3 linked regions of the Struthio camelus genome follow. The protein of the gene in region 3 interacts with the protein of the main gene of each other region in a pairwise test. Links are inferred from orthologs where the notes say so. Each region holds a gene or a part of one and is shown on either strand. Other genes may lie near its edges.

Region 1 (6,848 bases), on a different chromosome or scaffold from region 3:
CTCCCCCTCCCCAAAACTGCCCGCGGGGGACACCCCGAGGGGGGTTCCACTGGCAGCACCTGCTGAGACCCGATCAGCTTATTGCAGGGTGGGGTGGAATAGGGAAGGGAAGGGAATGGGGAAGGGAATGGGGAAGGGAAGGGAAGGGAAGGGAAGGGAAGGGAAGGGAAGGGAAGGGAAGGGAAGGGAAGGGAATGGGGAAGGGAAGGGAATGGGGAAGGGAAGGGAATGGGGAAGGGAATGGGGAAGGGAAGGGAAGGGAATGGGGAAGGGAATGGGGAAGGGAAGGGAATGGGGAAGGGAATGGGGAAGGGAATGGGGAAGGGAATGGGGAAGGGAAGGGAATGGGGAAGGGAATGGGGAAGGGAATGGGGAAGGGAATGGGGAAGGGAATGGGGAAGGGAATGGGGAAGGGAATGGGGAAGGGAAGGGAATGGGGAAGGGAATGGGGAAGGGAATGGGGAAGGGAATGGGGAAGGGAATGGGGAAGGGAATGGGGAAGGGAATGGGGAAGGGAATGGGGAAGGGAATGGGGAAGGGAAGGGAATGGGGAAGGGAATGGGGAAGGGAATGGGGAAGGGAAGGGGGAAGGGAAGGGGGAAGGGAATGGGGAAGGGAAGGGAATGGGGAAGGGAAGGGAAGGGAATGGGGAAGGGAAGGGAATGGGGAAGGGAAGGGAAGGGAAGGGAAGGGAAGGGAAGGGAAGGGAAGGGAATGGGGAAGGGAAGGGAAGGGAATGGGGAAGGGAAGGGGGAAGGGAATGGGGAAGGGAAGGGAAGGGAAGGGAAGGGAATGGAATGGGGAAGGGAAGGGAAGGGAATGGGGAAGGGAAGGGAATGGGGAAGGGAAGGGAATGGGGAAGGGAAAATGGGGAAGGGAAGGGAATGGGGAAGGGAAGGGAAGGGAAGGGGAAGGGAAGGGAATGGGGAAGGGAAGGGGAAGGGAAGGGGGAAGGGAATGGGGAAGGGAAGGGAAGGGAAGGGAAGGGAAGGGAAGGGAATGGGGAAGGGAAGGGAATGGGGAAGGGAATGGGGAAGGGAAGGGAAGGGAAGGGAAGGGAAGGGAAGGGAAGGGAAGGGAAGGGAAGGGAAGGGAAGGGAAGGGAAGGGAAGGGAAGGGAAGGGAAGGGAAGGGAAGGGAAGGGAAGGGAAGGGAAGGGAAGGGAAGGGAAGGGAAGGGAAGGGAAGGGAAGGGAGCGGTACCTGCGGTTGGCACTCCGGCTGTCCTGGCGAGCTACGCCGCAGCCGCCCGCCCCCGCCTGCCCCTATTTATCGCGGCCGCGGCGCTCCGGGTCCGCCCCGCTCCCGGCTCCGCTCCCGGCCCCGGAGCTTTCTGGAACCGGAGGGCCTGGCCCGGCCTGCGGGGGGGGGGGGGGGCGCCCTGGCGCCACGGGGATGGGCACATCCGCTTCGTCCCCAGGGCATCGCCCTTGGGGGAACGGTGTGTGGGGGGGCATTACCACCCCCCCCTTCCATGCACCCAAAATCCGAGCGCTGCAAGGGCCCCATCCTGCCTGCTTTCCCTCCCTCCTTCGCCGAGAGGGGGCTCAGCGCTCCCCAGCGCGCACGGCGTGGAAAAAACCGCGAGCGTTTATTTGGCAGGCGGTCCGAGGTGTCGTTTCCCACCCCCCCCCCCCAACCCCCGCTGGGGATTTCGGCTTTAGCAGCGTGATTCAGCAGGCGGCGGGGATTTTTGTTATTATTACAATTATTATTTTTGCCTCCAGCCTGTCTTTTCTCGGAAGCGTAGGGTTTGGTTTTGGCGGCCAACTTCACGGCTGCTCGTTTCCGTCCCCGGCGTCGCTCGGTTCGGAGAGCGGCGGTGGCGGCCCATCGGGTGTCCCCGTCCTGTCCCCCGGCCCCCTCGGCGGCAGCACCCGCAGCAGCGGGGGAAACTGAGGCACAGACGGGCATCCGGCGGCCAAAGGCGGGGGGGGGGGTCGTCCTGGCATCCGAGGGTGCCCCGAGAACATGTCCCCCCCCCCCCCCCCGCTCCAGCCCCTTGGCCCAGCTGCGTCCATGCGGCTGGTAAGCTGGCCAATATTGCATGCGCTAACTTTGCAAGGCCTCAGCACGGGGTTGGTTTGGGGGGGGCGGGGGGGGGAGTTGCCTGGTTATTTGCCTGCCCGGAGCTGCCCCCTCCGGCAAAGGCGGCGGGCGGAGGAGGAGCAGCGGCAGGAGGGAGGCGGGGAGAGGAGGCGCCGCAGGGGCGAGGGCGGCCTGAGAGCCGAGCGCGGCCGAAACGCGGCCCGGAGAGCGGGGGCGGCTGCCGGGGCACGCGTGTGCGTGGGGGTGCGTGTTCGCCCGGGGCCGTGTGCAGGACACGCGTGTGCACGGCGGTGTGTGTTCCCCCGGGGGCCGTGTGCGGGACACGCGTGTGCACGGCGGTGTGTGTTCCCCCAGGGCCGTGTGCAGGACACGCGTGTGCACGGCGGTGTGTGTTCCCCCGGGGGCCGTGTGCAGGACACGCGTGTGCACGGCAGTGTGTGTTCCCCCGGGGGCCGTGTGCAGGACACGCGTGTGCACGGCGGTGTGTGTTCCCCCGGGGGCCGTGTGCAGGACACGCGTGTGCACGGCGGTGTGTGTTCCCCCGGGGGCCGTGTGCAGGACACGCGTGTGCACGGCGGTGTGTGTTCCCCCGGGGGCCGTGTGCAGGACACGCGTGTGCACGGCGGTGTGTGTTCCCCCGGGGGCCGTGTGCGGGACACGCGTGTGCACGGCGGTGTGTGTTCCCCACAGCCTCAGGCCCCCGCTCCCACGCTCACCCCCCCCCCCACACACAACTTTCACACTCCCGCTCCCCTCCCGCAGCCCCGGCAGCGTCCCACCAGCATCCCGGCATGCCGCGACGGCGGACAAGGGCCCCGGTGGCAGCCGGCGCCGCGGCGGAGCTGCTGTGCATGGGCTGACGGGACGCGGCTGTGGGACCGGCCACCGCCGTGACCCCCCCCTCCATCTTTCTCGCACACTTTTGCCCACCCGGTTGGGTCCCGGCCGCTTTTGCGGCGGCACCGTGGGCACCTCTGTGCTGAGCCGATGCGGTAGCACGACGCCTGCGCGCCGCCCTCGCTGCCACTTCCGTTTCCTTGCTCCGTTTCCTCATCTCTCTCCTTTTTTTGGGGCCATCATGGCGTGTTTCTGGTGTAAGAAGAACAAGCGCCCGCGGCATCCCCTGCCAGCGCCCCGCTCCCCGGCCGAGTGCGCCCTGGTGCAGGAGAGCAAACTCAGCGCCTGGGGGGTAAGTGGCCTCCCGGGGCCGCCGGCGACGCTCGAGGAGCCGGAGGCGGCCTTCGCCGAGTCGGGCTGCCTGCCTGCAGAGCTGGCGGACGCAAGCAAGGAGCGCGCGGGGTTGCAAGCGCAGCTGCAGGATGCCCAGAGCGAGTGCACAGAGCTGCGCGCGGAGCTGGCGGACGCAAGCAAGGAGCGCGCGGGGCTGCAAGCGCAGCTGCAGGATGCCCAGAGCGAGTGCATAGAGCTGCGCGCGGAGCTGGCGGACGCAAGCAAGGAGCGCGCGGGGCTGCAAGCGCAGCTGCAGGATGCCCAGAGCGAGTGCATAGAGCTGCGCGCGGAGCTGGCGGACGCAAGCAAGGAGCGCGCGGGGTTGCAAGCGCAGCTGCAGGATGCCCGGAGCAAGTGCGCGGGGCTGCGCGCGGAGCTGGCGGACACAAGCAAGGAGCGCGCGGGGTTGCAAGCGCAGCTGCAGGATGCCCAGAGCGAGTGCATAGAGCTGCGCGCGGAGCTGGCGGACGCAAGCAAGGAGCGCGCGGGGCTGCAAGCGCAGCTGCAGGATGCCCAGAGCGAGTGCATAGAGCTGCGCGCGGAGCTGGCGGACGCAAGCAAGGAGCGCGCGGGGCTGCAAGCGCAGCTGCGGGACGCCCAGCAGAAGCGTGCCAGGTGGCCAGAAGAGCAGGCGAGCCGGGCGGCGCAGGGCGCGGAGGCGGCGGCGCTGCAGGAGACGGTGACGCCGGGTGCAAGCGGCTCAGCAGCAGCGCAGCACCCGGACCCGGAGGACGTGGCCACCAACTGCCATGGGAATGGGGCAAACGGGCAGGAGTTGGAGCCGGCGGAAGCGTGCAGGAAGGAGCAAGTGTGGGAGAAGCTGCAGCAGCTGGGGGAGGACATGGCCACGTGGAGCAAGAGGTCCACGAGAGACCTGGCCACCCAGCTGGTCAAGCGGATCCTGCAGACCGACACGGCGGTGTACCCCATGGCAGGGGTCAGCGAGGGCGGCTTGCAGCCCCCCGCGCCAGCCCGGCCGGGTGTCCGCTGGAGGCACGTGAACACTCTCCGCGTGGACAACGAGGGCAGGGTGTTTGTGCCAGTCAGGATAGCGGGCTCCGAGGAGGTGGACGCCCTGGTGGACGTCAACGCGGACGTCAGTGCGGTGCAGCTGTGCCCTCAGCTGGGAGGAGACGGGGTGCAGGACCGCACTGCAGGGCTGGGAGGTGCCATGTGCTATGATGTCCCCTTCTCCATCGGCGGGACGGTGTACTACGGGGATGTGCAGCACCTCCCCGCCATGCCGGAGCTGTGCGTTTTGGGAAGCGACTTCCTAACGGCTCACCGGTGGCAGCTGGACCTGGCTAACAGGAAGATTTGGGAAGTCTCTGAAGACAACCTGTTGGAGCAGGCAGGTCCACCAGTCCTTCCTAGACCCTCGCTGCAGGTCTGCAGGACCCTAATGCTGCTGGCTCCAAGTCAAGAGCCATGGAGGGAGGAATTCCCAGATGTGTGGACAAGGTACAAGATGGACTGTGGTTTGGTCTCTGGGGAGGAAAATATCACAGGGGGACCAGTGCCATTCCAAAAGCAATATGCGTATTTGGAGGAGGCGGAAAACGCAGTGGCTAACATCCTTGAAGACCTGCTGGCTCAAGGAGTGGTGGTAGAAGGGACATCTCCGTCCAACAGCCCTTTATGGCCCGTGAAGAAGGCCAACAAGAAAGAGTGGCGTCTAACGGTGGATTATCGAGCTGTCAACAGGGCCACCGCCAGGATAGCCCCGGTGGTCCTGGACAGGACGAAGATCGTCACGGCCCTGAGTCCCAAGAGCAAGTACTTCTCCGTGCTCGACTTGTCGAATTGCTCCTTTGCCATCCCGCTGGCACCAGCCTGCAGAGCCCGCTTTGCCTTCACGTTCAGAGGCCGGCAGTACCTCTTCACCAGGCTGCCCCAGGGCCTCCACAACACCACCACCATCGTGCACCAGCGGGTGGCTCAGATGTTAGCCCAGCTGCCCGACGAAGACAAAGAGGAGGTGCTTTCATACGTCGATGATATCATCATCGCTGGGAAAACCCAAGAGGAGACCAGAGCCCGGACGAGGAGAGTCCTGGAGCTGATCCAGAAAACTGGCTTTAAAGCCAAGTTAGAAAAGGCCCAACTAGTGCAGCCCAAGGTCAATTACCTGGGGATCACGATAGGGCCAAAGGGGAGGGAGATACAGGAGAGCAAGCTGAAGGCCGTGGACAAGAAGCGCCACCCGCGGGATGTGCGCGAGCTCCAGGGCTTGCTGGGATGGTTCAGGTCCATGCAAGAGCACGTTGAGGGCTACTCGGAGATTGCCCAGCCGCTCTACCGCTTAATGAGGAAGCCGGAGAGATGGGAGTGGGGACCTGAGCACGAGGAGGCCCTGAGCCGCCTGAAGGACGCGATCCTTAGGGCGCCCGCGCTGCGCTTCCCCGACCGGTCCCAGCCCTTTGTCATCAGGCTGACGACGAGCGAGCACGCCACGGGGGCTGCCCTGCTGCAGGAGGACGAGCAGAGCCAGCTGGTCCCAGTGGCATACCATTCCCAGCTGCTGAAGGACCACGAGGTCTCCTATTCACCACGCGAGAAGGAGTGCTTGGTGGCAGTACAAGCCGTGCAGGCCTTCAGGGCTCTCACGGGGCCGGCTCCTGTCGTTATCCAAATGCCACATTCGCCTTTGAAATACCTCCTTTGGGGGATGGCGACGGGAGCTCACACGTCAAGCGCCCACCCGGCCCAGTGGGCTCTGTTGCTGGTGAACAGGGGGGTCCCAGGGGAGACGGTCCCCAACGGGAACCCCCTTCCCTGCGGGCACCCTGCGGGCTCGGTGGTGCCCACCGCGCCCCCGCTGCGGCTCTTGCCCTCGCACGTCCCCGCGGGCAACGTGTGGTTCACCGTCGGCAGCGTGCTCCACCACGACGTGGACTATTTCGTCTTTGCAGCCGCCAGCCTGGAAGAACGGTGGCTCCTCGGGATGCGGGAGAGCGGCTCGGCGCAGACCGCGGAGCTGGCTGCCGTGGAGCAGGTCCTGCGCGGCCACGGGAGCGCTTTGCCCCTCTATTTGTACTCCGACTCCAAGTCCTTGGTGAAGAAGCTGCAGGAGGAGGGTGCCGAGGGCCTGCTGGAGACCACCGGCGGCGAGACGTGCGCCAACGGGGCCTCGTGGCCGAGCATCTGGCGCTGGATTCGCTCCAACCCGGGGGTGCTGCACGTCAGGCACGTCGCCGGACACGGGAGCGAGGACCCGGAGGAGCACGAGTGGAACCTGAGAGTGGGCAAAAGGGCCAGGGAAATGCCCGGGCGAGTCAAAACGGGGACAGCGAGGAGCCCGCAGGACTGGGAGCCGTCGAGGCACGAGAAACAGGAGATAGTCGCGCAGTGTCACGGCTGGTTGCACGAGGGGGTAGAGGGGAGCCTGGCCAGGGCGAGGCGGGTGGCGCGGTGGGAAGGCGACGAGGAGCAAGTAGCAGAGTGGGTGCAGAACTGCTTGCGGTGCGCTACGGCCGCGGGCAAAGCGCTACCCCTGAAGCCGCAGCGGGCGGACGGCCCGTGGTCTCAGCTCCAGGTAAGCTACGTCAACGGCCTCCCCCAAGCCGAAGA
Region 2 (6,984 bases), on a different chromosome or scaffold from region 3:
GGATGGGGTCGGAATTGGGGTCAGGGTCAGTGGTGGGATTGGGGATGGGGTCACGGTTGGGGTCGGGATCGGGGTCAGGGTCGGGGTCAGGGTGGGATTGGGGATGGGGTCACGGTTAGGCTTGGGGTCAGGAACGGGGTGAGGGATGGCGATGGAGCTGGGGCTGGGATCAGGACCGGGGTCGGGGCAGGATTGGGGATGGAGTTGAAGTTGGGGTCAGGAACGGGGTCAGGATCAGGGTCAGCGGTGGGATTGGGGATGGGGTCAGGAATGGGGCTGCAATCGGGGTTTGGGTCGGGGTCGGGACGGCCGATGGCGGTGCCCGGCCTCACCGCGGCCCCCCTGCTCCCCGAGACGCCGCACACCTGGCCCCAGGGTCCCCGCTGCCCCCGTCGCCACGCCAACACCGAGCCGTCGCCATGGCAACCGAGGGGTGTGATGCTGCCCGTCGCCGCGGCGACGCCGAGCCGGTCCTGCCGCGGCCGGGGGCTGCCGTGACTCAGCGCCCTGCCCAGCCGCTCCTTCCTCCTCCTGCTGCTGCTGCTGCTGCTGCTGCCGCCCGCGGGCGCGGGGCCGGCCGGGGCGAAGGTCTGGCGGTGACGGCGGCCTGGGCTGGGCCGTGGGCGGTTTCGGGGCTGAGGCGCCCGATTTCGCCTAACGTAGCCGCTCCGGCCCCGCTCCGCCGCGCACGTCCCTGCGGTGCTCCGCTCCTCCCGGTGCCGGCAAACAAACGTTTCCCACTCAAAAGCGGCGGCGGTGGCAGCGGCGGGGCGGTCAGCCCCGCTCCCGGCTCTGCGCGGCGCCGCGCGAGCCTGCGGACGAGGCGAAGCGCCGCTGCCACCGGCCTGCAGCCCCGGCCGCCACGAGGCAGGCGGCAGCGCTGCTCTCCCGGCGTCGCCCGACCTGCGCAGAGGGCCTGCAGGAGCGTGCGGCGCTCCGGCACGGCACCTGGTGCTCCGGCACAGCACGTGGTGCTCCGGCGCGGCACGTGGTGCTCCGGCACGGCACTTGGTGCTCCGGCACGGCACGCGGTGCTCGGCACGGCACTTGGTGCTCCGGCACGGCACGCGGTGCTCCGGCACGGCACCTGGTGCTCCGGCACGGCACGCGGTGCTCGGCACGGCACGCGGTGCTCGGCACGGCACGCGGTGCTCCGGCACGGCACCTGGTGCTCCGGCACGGCACTTGGTGCTCAGCACGGCACCTGGTGCTCCGGCGCGGCACGCGGTGCTCCGGCACGGCACGCGGTGCTCTGGTAAGGCACGTGGTGCTCCGGCACGGCACGCGGTGCTCTGGTAAGGCACGTGGTGCTCCGGCACGGCACGTGGTGCTCCAGCACGGCATGTGGTGCTCCGGCACGGCACGCGGTGCTCCGGCACGGCACATGGTGCTCCGGCACGGCATGTGGTGCTCAGGCGCGGCACATGGTGCTCCAGCGTGGCATGTGGTGCTCGGCACGGCACGCGGTGCTCAGGCACGGCACATGGTGCTCCAGCGTGGCATGTGGTGCTCTGGCACGGCACATGGTGCTCGGCACGGCACGCGGTGCTCAGGCACGGCACGTGGTGCTCCGGCACGGCACGCGGTGCTCTGGCACGGGACGTGGTGCTCCGGCACGGCACGTGGTGCTCCAACACGGCATGCGGGGCTCCCCCACGGCACATGGTGCTCCGGCACAGCACGCGGTGCTCCAGCATGGAGCGCGGTGCTCCAGACATGGCACACGGTGCTCCGGCACAGCACACAGTGCTCCAGACACAGCACACAGTGCTCCGGACACGGCACGCGATGCTCCGGACACAGCATGTGGTGCTCCAGACACGGCACACCATGCTCCTGCATGGCACACGTTGCTCTGGACATGGCACACGGTGCTCCTGCACGGCATGTGGTGCTCCGGACACGGCATGCGATGCTCCGGACACAGCATGTGGTGCTCCAGACACGGCACACCATGCTCCAGACATGGCACACGGTGCTCCTGCACGGCACGCAGTGCTCCGGCACAACACACAGTGCTCCTGCATGGCACACTTTGCTCCAGACATGACACACGGTGCTCCAGATATGGCACACGGTGCTCCGGCATGGCACATGGTGCTCTGGACACAGCACGTGGTGCTCCGGACACAGCCTGCGGTGCTCCAGCACAGCACACTGTACTCCTGCACAGCACACGGCGCTCCGGACATGGCACGCACAGCGCCGGACATGGCACACAATGCTTCAGCATGGCACATGGTGCTCCGGCACAGCACAGGGTGCTCCAGCACAGCACACGGCGCTCCGGCACGGCACGCACAGCTCCGGGGATGGCGTGCGGCGCTCCAGCCACCTGGCTCTGCAGGCACAGATCACGGTGCTCCGGGCCCAGGTGCTTCGGGGCGTCCCGTGCTGGCCGTGCCCGACGCCGGGCGCCGAGCGGAGCCTGCGCCACGCGGGGGGCTCTCGCAGGACGCACCGCGCCACGCACGCCGGGTGCCACCTGCCCACCCGTGGGGCGCTCGGAGCTGATGGCAAAGCGGTGCCGGCCCCGGGGCGCTGTCTGTGGGGTGCACGGCACTGTCCGTGGGGTGCTCGGCATTGTCCATGGGGTGCTCGGCGCTGTCCGTGGGGTGCTCGGCATTGTCCGTGGGGTGCTCGGCATTGTCCATAGGGTGCAGGATGCTGTCTGTGTGCAGCGCTGCCAGAGGGTGCATGGGGCTGCCGACGGGGCGGTGCTGCCTGGAGGGTGCACGGCACCATCTGAGGGTGCACAGCGCTCTCTGTGGGGTGCTCGGTGCTATTTGTGGGGTGCAGGGTGCTGCCTGAGGGGTGCACAGTGCTTCCTGAGGGGTGCGCAGTGCCGCTGCACAAGGGGTGGTGCAGCGTGAAGGGGGCACGGCGCTGTCTGCGGGGTGCACGGTGCTGCCCGCGGGGCGGTGCTGCGAGCAGGGTGCCCGGCGCTGTCCGAGGGGCGCGCAGCCCCGTCTCTGGGCGCCCGGCGTTCCCTGAGGTGCGCGCGTCAGGGTGCCTGGCACGGCCTGTGGGGTGCCTGGTGCTGTGCGAGGGGGGCACAGGCCTTCCGAGGGGGATACAGTGCTGCCGACGGGGCGGTGCTCGTGCGGGGCGCATGGTGCTGCACAAGGGCGCTGTCGGGGGGGTGCACAGCTGCCCCGGGGGGTGCACAGTGCCATCTTTGGGGTGCACGGTGCTGTCTAGGGGGTACACGGTGCTGCCCCAGGGGGTGCATGGTGCTTTCTGAGGGGGTGCCAGCTGCCCCAGCGGCACGGTGCACAGTGCTGTCTAGGGGGTGCACGGTGCTGTTGAGGGGGTGCACAGCTGCCCCAAGGGGTGCACGGTGCTATCTTTGGGTGCACGGTGCTGTCGGGAGGTGCACTGATGCCACAGGGGGTGCATGGTGCTGTCGAGGGGGGCGCACGGTGCTATCTGGGGGTGGACAGCTGTTGCAGGGGGTGCTGTCAGGGGGTGCACGGTGCTGTCGGGGGTGCACAGTGCTGTCGGGGAGGGGGTTCACGGCACTGTCGGGGGGTGAACAGCTGCCCCACGGGGTGCACGGTGCTGTCGGGGGGGGGGTGCACGGTGCTGTCAGAGGGTGCACAGCTGCCCCGGGGGGTGCACGGTGCAATCTTTGGGGTGCACAGGGCTGTCAGGGGGTGCACAGCTGCCCCGGGGGGTGCACGGCGCTGTCGGGGGGGTGCACGGCGCTGTCGGGGGGTGCCGGCTGCCCGCGGGCGTGCCCGGGGCGCCCCTGGCTGGCGGGGCCGGGCCGGGCGCGGGGCGGCGCCGGCGGCGGGAGGGTGCCCGGCGCTGGCGGCCGGCGCGGGGCGCTGCCGGGGCCGGGGTCGCCGCCCCCCCCCCCCCCCGGCCTCTGCGCCCCATGCAGGTTCCGGGGTGCTGCGGGGCGGGGGCAGGCCGGCAGCCGCCCCACGTGGCCGGGGCCGCGCCAGCCAATGGGAGCGCGTGTTTCTGAAAGATCTCCATATATGGCGATCTTCTCGGCCGGCGGGGCGGGGTCATCGCCCCCTGGGTATAAAAGCGTGGGGCTGGGAGCTGGACGGTCTCACTCAGCCGGCGGCAGCAGACCAGGCGGTATCGTCTCCCTTCCCCGCACCGCGAGAAGCCTCCTCCGCACAGGTACCGGCCGGCCCGGCCCGGCCCGAGCCCCCCGCCGCCCTCGGGGCCGGTGGCCGTTAGCCGTTAGGGCGTGGCTCGCGCCCCTCTTGGGCCGCGCCACTGAGGTCCCCGGGGGGGAGGGGGCGGGGGGGGTTTGCAACGTGCCGCTCCCGGCTGGCTCGTGGGGTGGGTTGTGCCCGCCCTGGTGTTCTCCCACCCCTCCCCCCACCGGAGTGGTCTCGCCCGTTTGAATGGGAGCCGGGCCGTTGGGAAGGGAGGGGGGAGGGGGAAGAACGCGCGAGCCGGAGGAGGGTGGGGCGCGATTGGCCGCGGAGGCGGGTGACGTCAGGGCGCGGGAGATTCAAACCGCGGGGCGGGCGCGGGGCTGCCGCGCTGGGGCGGCGCGGCCCGGCCCGGCCCGGCCCGGCGGGGGCCCCCCGGGGAGCCGCCCCGCCGCAGGGCGGCGGCCGCCTGGCGCCGTGCCGTGCGGGAGCCGGCCCTCCCCTCCTGGCCGCGCTGCGGGACCCCCCTGCCCGCCCCCCCCCGAGCTTCGGGCTGGCCCGCTGCCAGCGCGGCCTCCCGGGGCCGCGGCCCCCAGCCGGTGCAGGGTGCGGGCGTGACGTGGCGCTGGGCACGGCAGGGCTGGGTTGCTGAGCGAGGGCTCTGTCTCTTCCTCCCCCCCCCCGACATCAGATCCTTCAAAATGGAAGAAGAAATTGCAGCGCTCGTCATCGACAATGGCTCCGGCATGTGCAAAGCTGGCTTTGCAGGGGACGATGCTCCCCGTGCTGTGTTCCCCTCCATTGTTGGGCGCCCCCGACACCAGGTAAGCTGGGAGGGCCCTGCCCGGAGTGGGTGTGCCTGGGGCGGTGCTGCAGTGCGCGGAGCTGACTCATGCGTCCCTTCCTAGGGCGTCATGGTGGGCATGGGGCAGAAGGACAGCTACGTAGGTGATGAGGCCCAGAGCAAGAGAGGAATCCTCACCCTGAAGTACCCCATTGAGCACGGTATTGTCACTAACTGGGACGACATGGAGAAAATTTGGCATCACACCTTCTACAATGAGCTCCGTGTGGCTCCCGAGGAGCACCCTGTCCTGCTCACAGAGGCTCCTCTGAACCCCAAGGCCAACAGAGAGAAGATGACACAGGTACGCTTCCTTGGGCAGCAGCCGCCGCTTACCTCCATCTTCACAAACCCTCTTTTGTTATGGCATCTTAAACCTGAGTTTTTTTTCTCCCAATGTTTTCAGGGTTCTCTACTCCTGGCATTTCCTCCTTGACGTCTCAGGTTTCTTTCATTTGTGTTTTCTGCCTGCGTTCTTTGCTTTTCTTTCACACATCAGTTTTTGCATGTCAACATGCATGTTCTAACACAGGTGTGAGTGACCCAGCTTGTTGTTCCATGCTGAACTGTTTCTTCTTTCTTCCAGATCATGTTTGAGACCTTCAACACCCCAGCCATGTACGTTGCCATCCAGGCTGTGCTGTCCCTGTATGCCTCTGGCCGTACCACTGGTATCGTTATGGACTCTGGGGATGGTGTCACCCATACTGTGCCCATCTACGAGGGGTATGCTCTGCCCCATGCCATCCTGCGCCTGGACTTGGCTGGCCGTGACCTGACAGACTACCTCATGAAGATCCTGACAGAAAGAGGCTACAGCTTCACTACAACAGCTGAAAGGGAGATTGTCCGTGACATAAAGGAAAAGCTGTGCTATGTCGCCCTGGACTTCGAGCAGGAGATGGCCACTGCTGCCTCTTCCTCCTCCCTGGAGAAGAGCTATGAGCTGCCTGATGGTCAGGTGATCACCATTGGCAATGAGCGGTTCAGGTGTCCGGAAGCCCTCTTCCAGCCATCCTTCCTGGGTAGGTATGGGCCAGAGCCGCCCTGAGAGACCGGTGGCACCTGGAGTGCCCCTCTGGTGTGGGAGTTTGCTCTGGCTGCATGCTGAGCTGGGGGGTTGGCATGGCTGAAATGAGGTGCTGCGTGTGTGTGCTAACAAGCCTGCAACTCTTTTCTCCCTAGGCATGGAGTCTTGTGGCATTCATGAGACCACTTTCAACTCAATCATGAAGTGTGATGTAGACATCAGGAAGGACCTGTATGCCAACACAGTATTGTCTGGTGGTACCACAATGTACCCTGGAATTGCTGACAGAATGCAGAAGGAAATCACAGCTCTGGCACCTAGCACAATGAAGATCAAGGTAAGAAATGCTCCTTTGTCCTGCTGCGGACGATGCTGCAGGCCCCTGTGTTTTGTGGGAGGAGGCCGGAAAGCCCTGGGCAGTTCTGACTGCTCCTCTTCTCTTGCAGATCATTGCCCCACCTGAGCGTAAATACTCTGTCTGGATTGGTGGCTCCATCCTGGCGTCTCTATCAACTTTCCAGCAGATGTGGATCAGCAAGCAGGAATATGATGAGTCTGGCCCATCCATTGTCCACCGTAAATGCTTCTAAATGGACTGCTAGCAGATGCACAGCATCTGCTGCATGAGTTGTTTTCACTAGTATACGTTTGCCCAGGCAAATCTATACACCTCATGCTAGCCTCATAAAACTGGAATAAGCCTTCTTTCAAAAGAAACTTGCCCTTGGAAAGTCTGTATCTGATGTTAGACAAATGTCAGCACTGGATTGTCAAGCTGTCACTTGATTTGACCTTGTATTCAAGTTAACTGTTCCCTTGGTGTACACCTTAGCAGAATACCCTGTACAGATCTGATCTAAGCCTTGGGGCAGGTGCCTCGCGTGTGTGATGTCCTTGCTAAGGTTGACTTGTGTTTGTGGGGAGCCTATTCTGACAGTGGTTCTCACGGCTTGCTATACTGACAGTGACGCCTCTCCAAGAGCGCAGGCTCT
Region 3 (7,305 bases):
GGACAAACTGATAGTCAAAGGTCCACCTTATTTATATGCATTTGCTTGTTGTTCATCAAAGCCAGCCTCCTGGAACATTTTGGTGACTCAGACTTGGAGATAAGTGGCCTAAGCGCTTCTCTTCCCCAGTATTAAGAACAAATCATCCCTTCAGCCAGATTTTGAGTCACTACCTGCTTACAACATTTCATAGAGCCATCCTTCACCCTTTCAAACAGGCAGCCAGAACAACGTCTCCTCCATCCAGACTCATCTACAAAGCAGCAGCAACGTGACACTTCTATTTCCTAATAAATGAAATTTTGCAAGGCTTGTGGAATTACTCCTCACTGCCATGTTTTTGTGCTCAGGCAGCAAATTTACTATTGATTTCTGATTCAGACCCTGTGGAATGATTCATGCTTCTTACCCTATCTGCTGAATTTATGACCTTTAACAATTATTCTAAGTGCTAAACGAGCTTAGTTTAGAAGAAGATCTATTCCTTGGCAAATTAAGACCCTATTCTGGTCTCACTTATAAACCAACACATCTCTCGTAATTTAAAGGAAAAGTGTCATAACAGGTCTCTTGCCTTTAGGTTACACAGCACAGGGCTCCCTTGAGCCCTGAGCATGACTGCTGCTGGCCTGAGGCAGAAGGCAAGGTGGGACACCCCAAATCCCAAGAGCTCTGTGCCCCACAGTGTGAGCAGCAGCTGCCTTACTGCAGCCCTGTAGCCTCGCACGGCTACTCCATGTCGGCATGAGCAGCTCATCTCGGCTTGGCAGCACTAGGGAGCGGCTCAGGGTTGATGTTCACACCAGAACATCCTCAACCAGTTGAGCTGATCTTGAGCTCCTGGCTAACGCGACACAAGCTGCTTCCTGACAAGGAAGCGCTGCGGTGTCTTCCATCGCTCTAGCGGGCTCCCATATCCTCCTCCGAACACCTCAGTGGTGGGCAATAACATCGTCCGCTTCTCCAAATTCTCATCTTATAACGGGACTTGAAAAACCTATTTCCTGCTGAAGCGGCCTTGCCGGAAAGCCACGTCAACTACCACTGCAGAGGCAAGGGGACACGGCAAAAGGACCATCCTTAGCATCTCACCATGTCGTCGGGTGCAGGTCCCACACCTCGAGCTGTCCTGGAGCAGCAGGACGTCTCTGCTCAGAGTTCACTCTCAGTGGTTGGGGAGGGGAGAGCAGAAAGGGAATATACGTTTCCTTTCAAAAAGGAAACAAAACCTAAACTGTATCTTGTACGCATTGCCATCAAAAAGCCACAAACACACAAAAACTAAGCATATACTGATAGATCTTTAAAAATAACTGGTTCCCTGGTTCAAATGAAATTAAAAAAAAAAAAAAGTTATTTTCAGGGACCGGGGTCAAGCAGAGGGCCCCCTTGCCCTCACGAACAATACTGCTTTCCTGGATTAACTCCACTGACTTTGGTATCCTTTCTCCCAAGACACTTTCTACCTACAAGGGGAAACGAGCTCTAGGTCTGTTTTCAAGCTGGATGGTCCCCCTGCTCCAATCCTGTCTACACCTTGAATCGCTGAGCAATCGTTTACACTATTAATCAACCAGAAACTCACTAGGAAGAAAGTAGGGCAAGTGAATAAAGATAGACATCTTTTTTTTCACTGAAGCAAATAATATTTCTAAAAATACACTTATGTAAGTCTTCAGCGGGTTCTGCTTAATTTTATTTATCTATCTATTCCAGCAGGCTGAGATAAGCAGTCTTGCTGCAACCTCCACATGAAACACCGCTTCTCTGAACAACTCCCCACGCTCGACACCAACTACCTGTTCTCAAGACAAAAAGGATGAAGAGAAAAGAGGGGAAAAAGGGGGGGGGGGGGGAAGTTACCGTAACAAGGGCAGTGGCGGAGGGGGGGACACAGTGCCAGCCCACACGGAGGCTGACACGTTTGCCAAGCCCGACATTTCAAGGGTAGAGCGACAGGAAAGCTTTGTTTCAGAGGGGGAAGGTGAAGAGCAGGCAGAGCTAATGGAGAGGGATGGAGAGAGAAGAAACGGGCTGCGGGTCCGCGTCGGCGCGGAGCGGCACCGGAGCAGCCCGCACCAGCGCCGCGCACACGCGTGTGTGGGTGTGTGTGCACACGCGTGCACGCTACGTGATTTATTAACCGAGCGTGGCGAGGAGGGGCTCGGCCGTCCCGGGGGCTCCCCGCGCGCCCAGCCCCACCGCCGCCACCCCACCGGCCAGCGCGCAGGGACAAAGCCCAGCACCGAGGCCACGTTTCGGCGGCGACACGCGTGAAACACGGCCGCGCGGGCTGGGCGTGGGGTTTTTCCCCAGGCATGTGATTTTTTTTTTATTTTCATTTTTCTACACCTGCCAGAGCCCCCACGGGGACGGGGAGCGCCGCGGTGTCCTTCGCGCAGGGGCCGGGCGCAGAGGCGGCGCGGGGGGACCGGCCTTGCACACGCACACACGGCTGCACACGCTCACGCACAGCCACACACACACCCCCCCCCCGTTTACATAAACGTGCACACACCTATACACAGACACACGTCAATATACCTACACGCACATACACACACGCTTGTACACACACAGACATATATAAACATGAGCACACAGATGGGGATAAACGCACACACACGCGCGCAGCGGGGCAGAGGCGGCAGCCGCACAGCCCAGCGCAGCCCCCGCGCCCGGCTCAGCCTCACCTGCCCGAGGAGAGCCCCCTTCCCCACGCACGTACACCCCCCACGCCCCACGCGCGGCCCCTCACCCGCAGCGCCGAGAGGTCGATCTCGTCCAGGCTCCGCGCCGGCGAGTCGCTCGCCATGTTTCCTCCGCCGGCGGCGGCAGCGGCGGCAGCAGCGGCGGCCCCGGCGCCGCCACCGAGCTGGCAGTCTCCGGCCGCGGCGGCGCTCGGCGCTATTTAACGCCTCTCCTCATGCGGGGGGCCGCGGGAGAAGCCGCCCCTGCCGCTGCTCCCCCCCCCCTTCCTCTTCCTCCTCCTCCGCCGCGGCAGCGGGCAGCGCGGCGGCTAGGGGCGGCCGCGGGCTGGCGGCGGGCAGGGCACGCCGCGGGCTGCGCCGGGATGGCGGCGGCGGCGGCGGCGCATCGCCGCCTCCCCGGCCGGAGCGCGCTGCCGGAGCTGTCTGTCAGCGCGGCGGGGGGCGGCCGCGCCGCTGCCTGCCGGGGCGGGGGCGGCGGCGGCGGTGGCGGCGGGGGCGGCGGCGGCGCCGCCGGCTCCCGCTAGGGGGCGGCCACGGGCGGGGGCCGAGGCGGGCAGGAGCCGAGGCGGGCAGGAGCTGAGGCGGGCAGGAGCCGGGGCGAGCGGGAGCCGGGGCGAGCGGGAGCCGGGGCGAGCGGGAGCCGAGGCGGGCAGGGGCGGGAAGGGGCCGGGGCGGGCAGGGGCCGGGGCGAGCAGGAGCCGGGGCGGGAAGGAGCCGAGGCGAGCAGGGGCCGGGGCGGGAAGGAGCCGAGGCGAGCAGGGGCCGGGGCGGGAAGGAGCCGAGGCGAGCAGGGGCCGGGGCGGGAAGGAGCCGAGGCGGGCAGGGGCCGGGGCGGGAAGGGGCCGAGGCGGGCAGGGGCCGAGGCGGGCAGGAGCCGAGGCGGGCAGGGGCCGAGGCGGGCAGAGGCCGGGGCGGGCAGGAGCTGAGGTGGGCAGGGGCCGAGGCGGGCAGGGGCCGAGGCGGGCAGGAGCCGAGGCGGGCAGGGGCCGGGGCGGGCAGGGGCCGGGGCGGGCAGGGGCCGGGGCGGGCAGGAGCTGAGGTGGGCAGGGGCCGAGGCGGGCAGGGGCCGGGGCGGGCAGGGGCCGGGGCGGGAAGGGGCCGAGGCGGGCAGGGGCCGAGGCGGGCAGGGGCCGGGGCGGGAAGGGGCCGGGGCGGGCAGGGGCCGGGGCGGGCTGGGGCCGGGGCGGGCAGGAGCTGAGGCTGCCCGCGCCCCCCAACCCCAGCGCCCTCCCTCCGCCCCGAGGCCAGAGGCTTCGCCCCACTGAGGTGACCGGCCCCTCGGTTTTCCACCTTCCACCCGGCCTGGTTTCACCCCAAGCCCCGCCGTTGGGACAGGCGAGGGCTTTGGCCCGGAAAGCTCGGCAGCGCGCGCCGCGGTTTCTCCGCGCCCTGCTGCCCACCGGCCTGCTGGGGTGCTCTCCTGACCTCCCCCCGCCCGACGCAAGGCACGAAGGACGCGGCTGGGGGAATAATGTCTGCGAACGACCCTGCTGGCTGCCGACGCCGAAGTCCAGTCGGGGACACGTGGCTTTGCAGAGTCCCACGCTCGTGCTTATTGAGCGCGTAGGCTCTCGCAACGCCGTTGGAGCCACCTGGCCGGAAAAAAATCCGGGGTTAAGCGTCAGCCAGTGCCGCAGCAGCTATGCCGTGGCTTTGCAAAGCTTGGCGGCACAAGTTGCCAAAATCGAGGTGCTGAACCCAACCCATGCAGCGCTTGGGTGCTGGGAAGCCTAAGGGCCTCATCACCTTCCACCCAAAAGCGGTGGCTGCTCTTCTTCGTGCACGTCAGGACGGTCAGGCCAAGAAACCGGCCTGCTCCTACTGGATCCAGATGTTAGATCCGATTTCGGGTCCTCTTTCCCTCAGCGCTTAGGAGTATCGCGAGCTGTCCTTGACCTATCTAATTCCCTTTTTGAGCAAGAATGAGAGATTTACGCTGTCTCTGGGACTGCAGTTGGCCAAAAGCCTCCCAAACCCAGCAATTAGCTAGGTAGAGTCAGCTTTGACTGTTTTCCTTATTCCCCTTATTCGGAAGTCGTTTCTGCCAAACCAGGTGCCATATATAAATATATATATATAAAATCTGTTGCCTTTGAGCAAACCGTATGGAAGATGTACTTACAACATCAGCTCTCGCCGGCTTGTGTCAGGCTCTTACAATATGCAGATCTGGGAAGCGGAAACCCTACACATGAGACAATTGGCAGACGGATGGGGTTTTCTGACGCTCGCTGGTCGGAGATGCACTTAGTACATTTGGGGAAAAAAAACAACCAAAAACCCAAATCACGTCACGAACGAACGGTGCCGTTGCAGGGAGGCTCGGCGCTGCGGCTAGTGCACAACGGGGCTCATTGCCTGCGATATGGCGACGGTTTTTTGAGCCCTGCGAAACCCGGCCGAGGAAGTGCGGCCCTGCACAACTGCATCGATGTCTCGTTAGCGTTAGTGCGGATCACGGCTTTCTGACACAAGCCGAGGAAGGGAGCAACGGCGTCGTCCTGCGATGCTGGGAACGAGAGCGTTCCTGTTTGCAAAACTCCCAGGGCAAAGCAGAAGGCAATTTTTTTTCTTTTAGTGAACTGCTGGAGCGTCAGGAAACTGCAGTTACCCTGAAATGCGTGAAGTGCGCAGCACTGCACAGCACGTGCAGTCCTGGGATGGCAGCGTGGCTGGGTTTATTCCCTTTCTCCTGCTCCATGAATCCTTTATACCTTCACAGTGATTAGGCCTCGGCTGCATTTAAAAAGCCAAGTTTGATCAAAATGTTAAACTCAGTAAAATAATTATACATTTGGAAAACGGGGAACAGCCTTATTGCTTCTGAGCATCCTCCTGAATCTGTAGCGCTGATGGAATTTTTTTTAAACCAGATGTTGTCTGTGTCGGTTCAAACCTAGATATTGCAATGTTTGCTCATACTTGGGAAGCTGAAAGCAAAACTGCCTGGAAACTAGTAACCAAAGAAATTGCAAGATTTCCTACTGCTTTCATTGTTCCCAGGGAAAGAAATGGAAAGAACAAATGGAATGAGAGAGGACATTGGTTTTCTCCAATATGCTTTCCGTTCAAGAATGCAAGGTTTTATTTGTGAAGCATGAAAGGATTAAAAAAAGAAAAAAAACCAACAAAATAAATATGTGCCCCAGTCCTGCATATAGACAGATTGCCTCAATCCTCGGTGTAAATGCAAAGTTTATACCCAAGCTAAACCATGGTGTCATGACAGTCCGTCCTCTGTGTGACAAGACAGCGAAAACGTAGAGAACCGTTCTGTGTCAATAACATAAGAAATGCAGTAAACGGTAGTGGAGGGCGGATGCAGACCCCGGCGACTTCGAGGCAGCGCGGCATGAGGACTGCCGGGGCGAGCGCAGCGCATGGGCAGCTGCTCGGGGCAGCACGACCTCGGCAGGGAGACGCCGGCCCGGCCTTCCCGCTGGCCATGGGGAGACGTCCGGCCACGTACGACTGGAGCTGGTCAGTCACTTTCTGCAGGAAACTTTTTCTATAGAAAATGAAGTTTCTGATACGTTAACCTTTTTTGCAAGGAGGCGTATGTTTGTGTCTCTCTGTATACCATTTCTCTGCCAGGAGCATCTAAACAAAAGTCTTGCAGTTTGAGTTGCTATGACTCGAAAGAGAGCGCTCCGTGGAGTTGGCCTGAAATGTTTTGCTGAGAGTCGGTTCAACATTAACTCGTGTTTGCAGCTAGCGGGGCCCTCCTGGGGATCGTTGTGGGGCCCCGTCCTGCCACATGCCGGGACCCTTTCGACCTGACGCGCCGCAGCAGGGCCTCGCTCAGCTCTGTGCAGCGCATAGGCGGCGACTCCAGGTCACGTCGCTCGCCAAGCAGAGACCTGTGGTAGGGGGGTACAGCTGGCGCTGAGCTTGACTCCTGATATCCCCAGTTAGCTCCGCACGCTCTATTTCTACCTCCCTAGAGGTGGAGGTGGGCACGGTTTTGTGTGAAGACATCGTTTTGGCCATGTTCACCAAACTCACTTTTTTTTTTTCTTTTTACTTTCCCATCCTCTGACAGATGGCACGATTTTGCCTTTTCATCCCAATTTGGAATGGAGGCAAATGCTAAAATGTCAGCTTTTCCTACAGGATGGCTTTGGTCCCAAGTTTTGGTCAGCCGCAGTGAACAACAGGCGCACCGTAACAAACCAAATCTCAGCTGTTGGCAGGGAGGGTTGATGACGTCAGGGTCAGTATTTTTGATTCATTCATTAAAGGACATCAGCTCACCAATAAACCGTCCAGTTCATTTGACCTCTGCATATAACCAAATTTAGTAATCTAACCGTGCCATTGGTGTTAATTACATCATGAAGGGGTATATGTTGAAATTAGTAAATCTAAACGACACACAAGGCCTTGCCTGGTTGGCAAGAGCTTCAGTTGCTTTGGGCTTTGGATTATTCTCTGAAAGACTGGAGAGGGAAGGAATGAAGCAAATAAAGCATGCTTGGGCCCTATTGCATGATTTATTCCACCAGCATAGGTGGATCACTTGTTTCCAAATAATTCTATGACCACTTGGACCCGTGACTGGTGTCAGCTTAGTATTTCCGATTCCCTAAGACCG

What was found. The genes of interacting proteins can lie anywhere in the genome.
Region 1: the proteins of TNIK (region 3) and CLU interact in a two-hybrid assay, tested with the Homo sapiens proteins (2 studies listed by BioGRID and IntAct). The link is inferred for Struthio camelus from reciprocal best matches to the Homo sapiens genes TNIK and CLU.
Region 2: the proteins of TNIK (region 3) and ACTG1 interact in a two-hybrid assay, tested with the Homo sapiens proteins (2 studies listed by BioGRID and IntAct). The link is inferred for Struthio camelus from reciprocal best matches to the Homo sapiens genes TNIK and ACTG1.

Annotation. Positions count from the first base shown.
Region 1 is NC_090944.1:8,553,261-8,560,108, forward strand, and holds the start of CLU (clusterin), read right to left. Parts: upstream 3,003-6,848; 5' UTR 2,979-3,002; intron 1,534-2,978; exon of another isoform or gene 1,203-1,533; intron 1-1,202.
Region 2 is NC_090960.1:1,594,377-1,601,360, reverse strand, and holds the start of ACTG1 (actin, cytoplasmic 2), read left to right. Parts: upstream 1-3,982; 5' UTR 3,983-4,137; intron 4,138-4,809; 5' UTR 4,810-4,819; coding exon 4,820-4,942; intron 4,943-5,026; coding exon 5,027-5,266; intron 5,267-5,548; coding exon 5,549-5,987; intron 5,988-6,147; coding exon 6,148-6,329; intron 6,330-6,438; coding exon 6,439-6,582; 3' UTR 6,583-6,984. Other genes in the region: keratinocyte proline-rich protein-like, read right to left, coding at 87-1,718. UniProt on the Homo sapiens protein: Actins are highly conserved proteins that are involved in various types of cell motility and are ubiquitously expressed in all eukaryotic cells.
Region 3 is NC_090950.1:27,544,247-27,551,551, reverse strand, and holds the start of TNIK (TRAF2 and NCK-interacting protein kinase), read right to left. Parts: upstream 3,001-7,305; 5' UTR 2,816-3,000; coding exon 2,759-2,815; intron 1-2,758. UniProt on the Homo sapiens protein: Serine/threonine kinase that acts as an essential activator of the Wnt signaling pathway. Recruited to promoters of Wnt target genes and required to activate their expression. May act by phosphorylating TCF4/TCF7L2.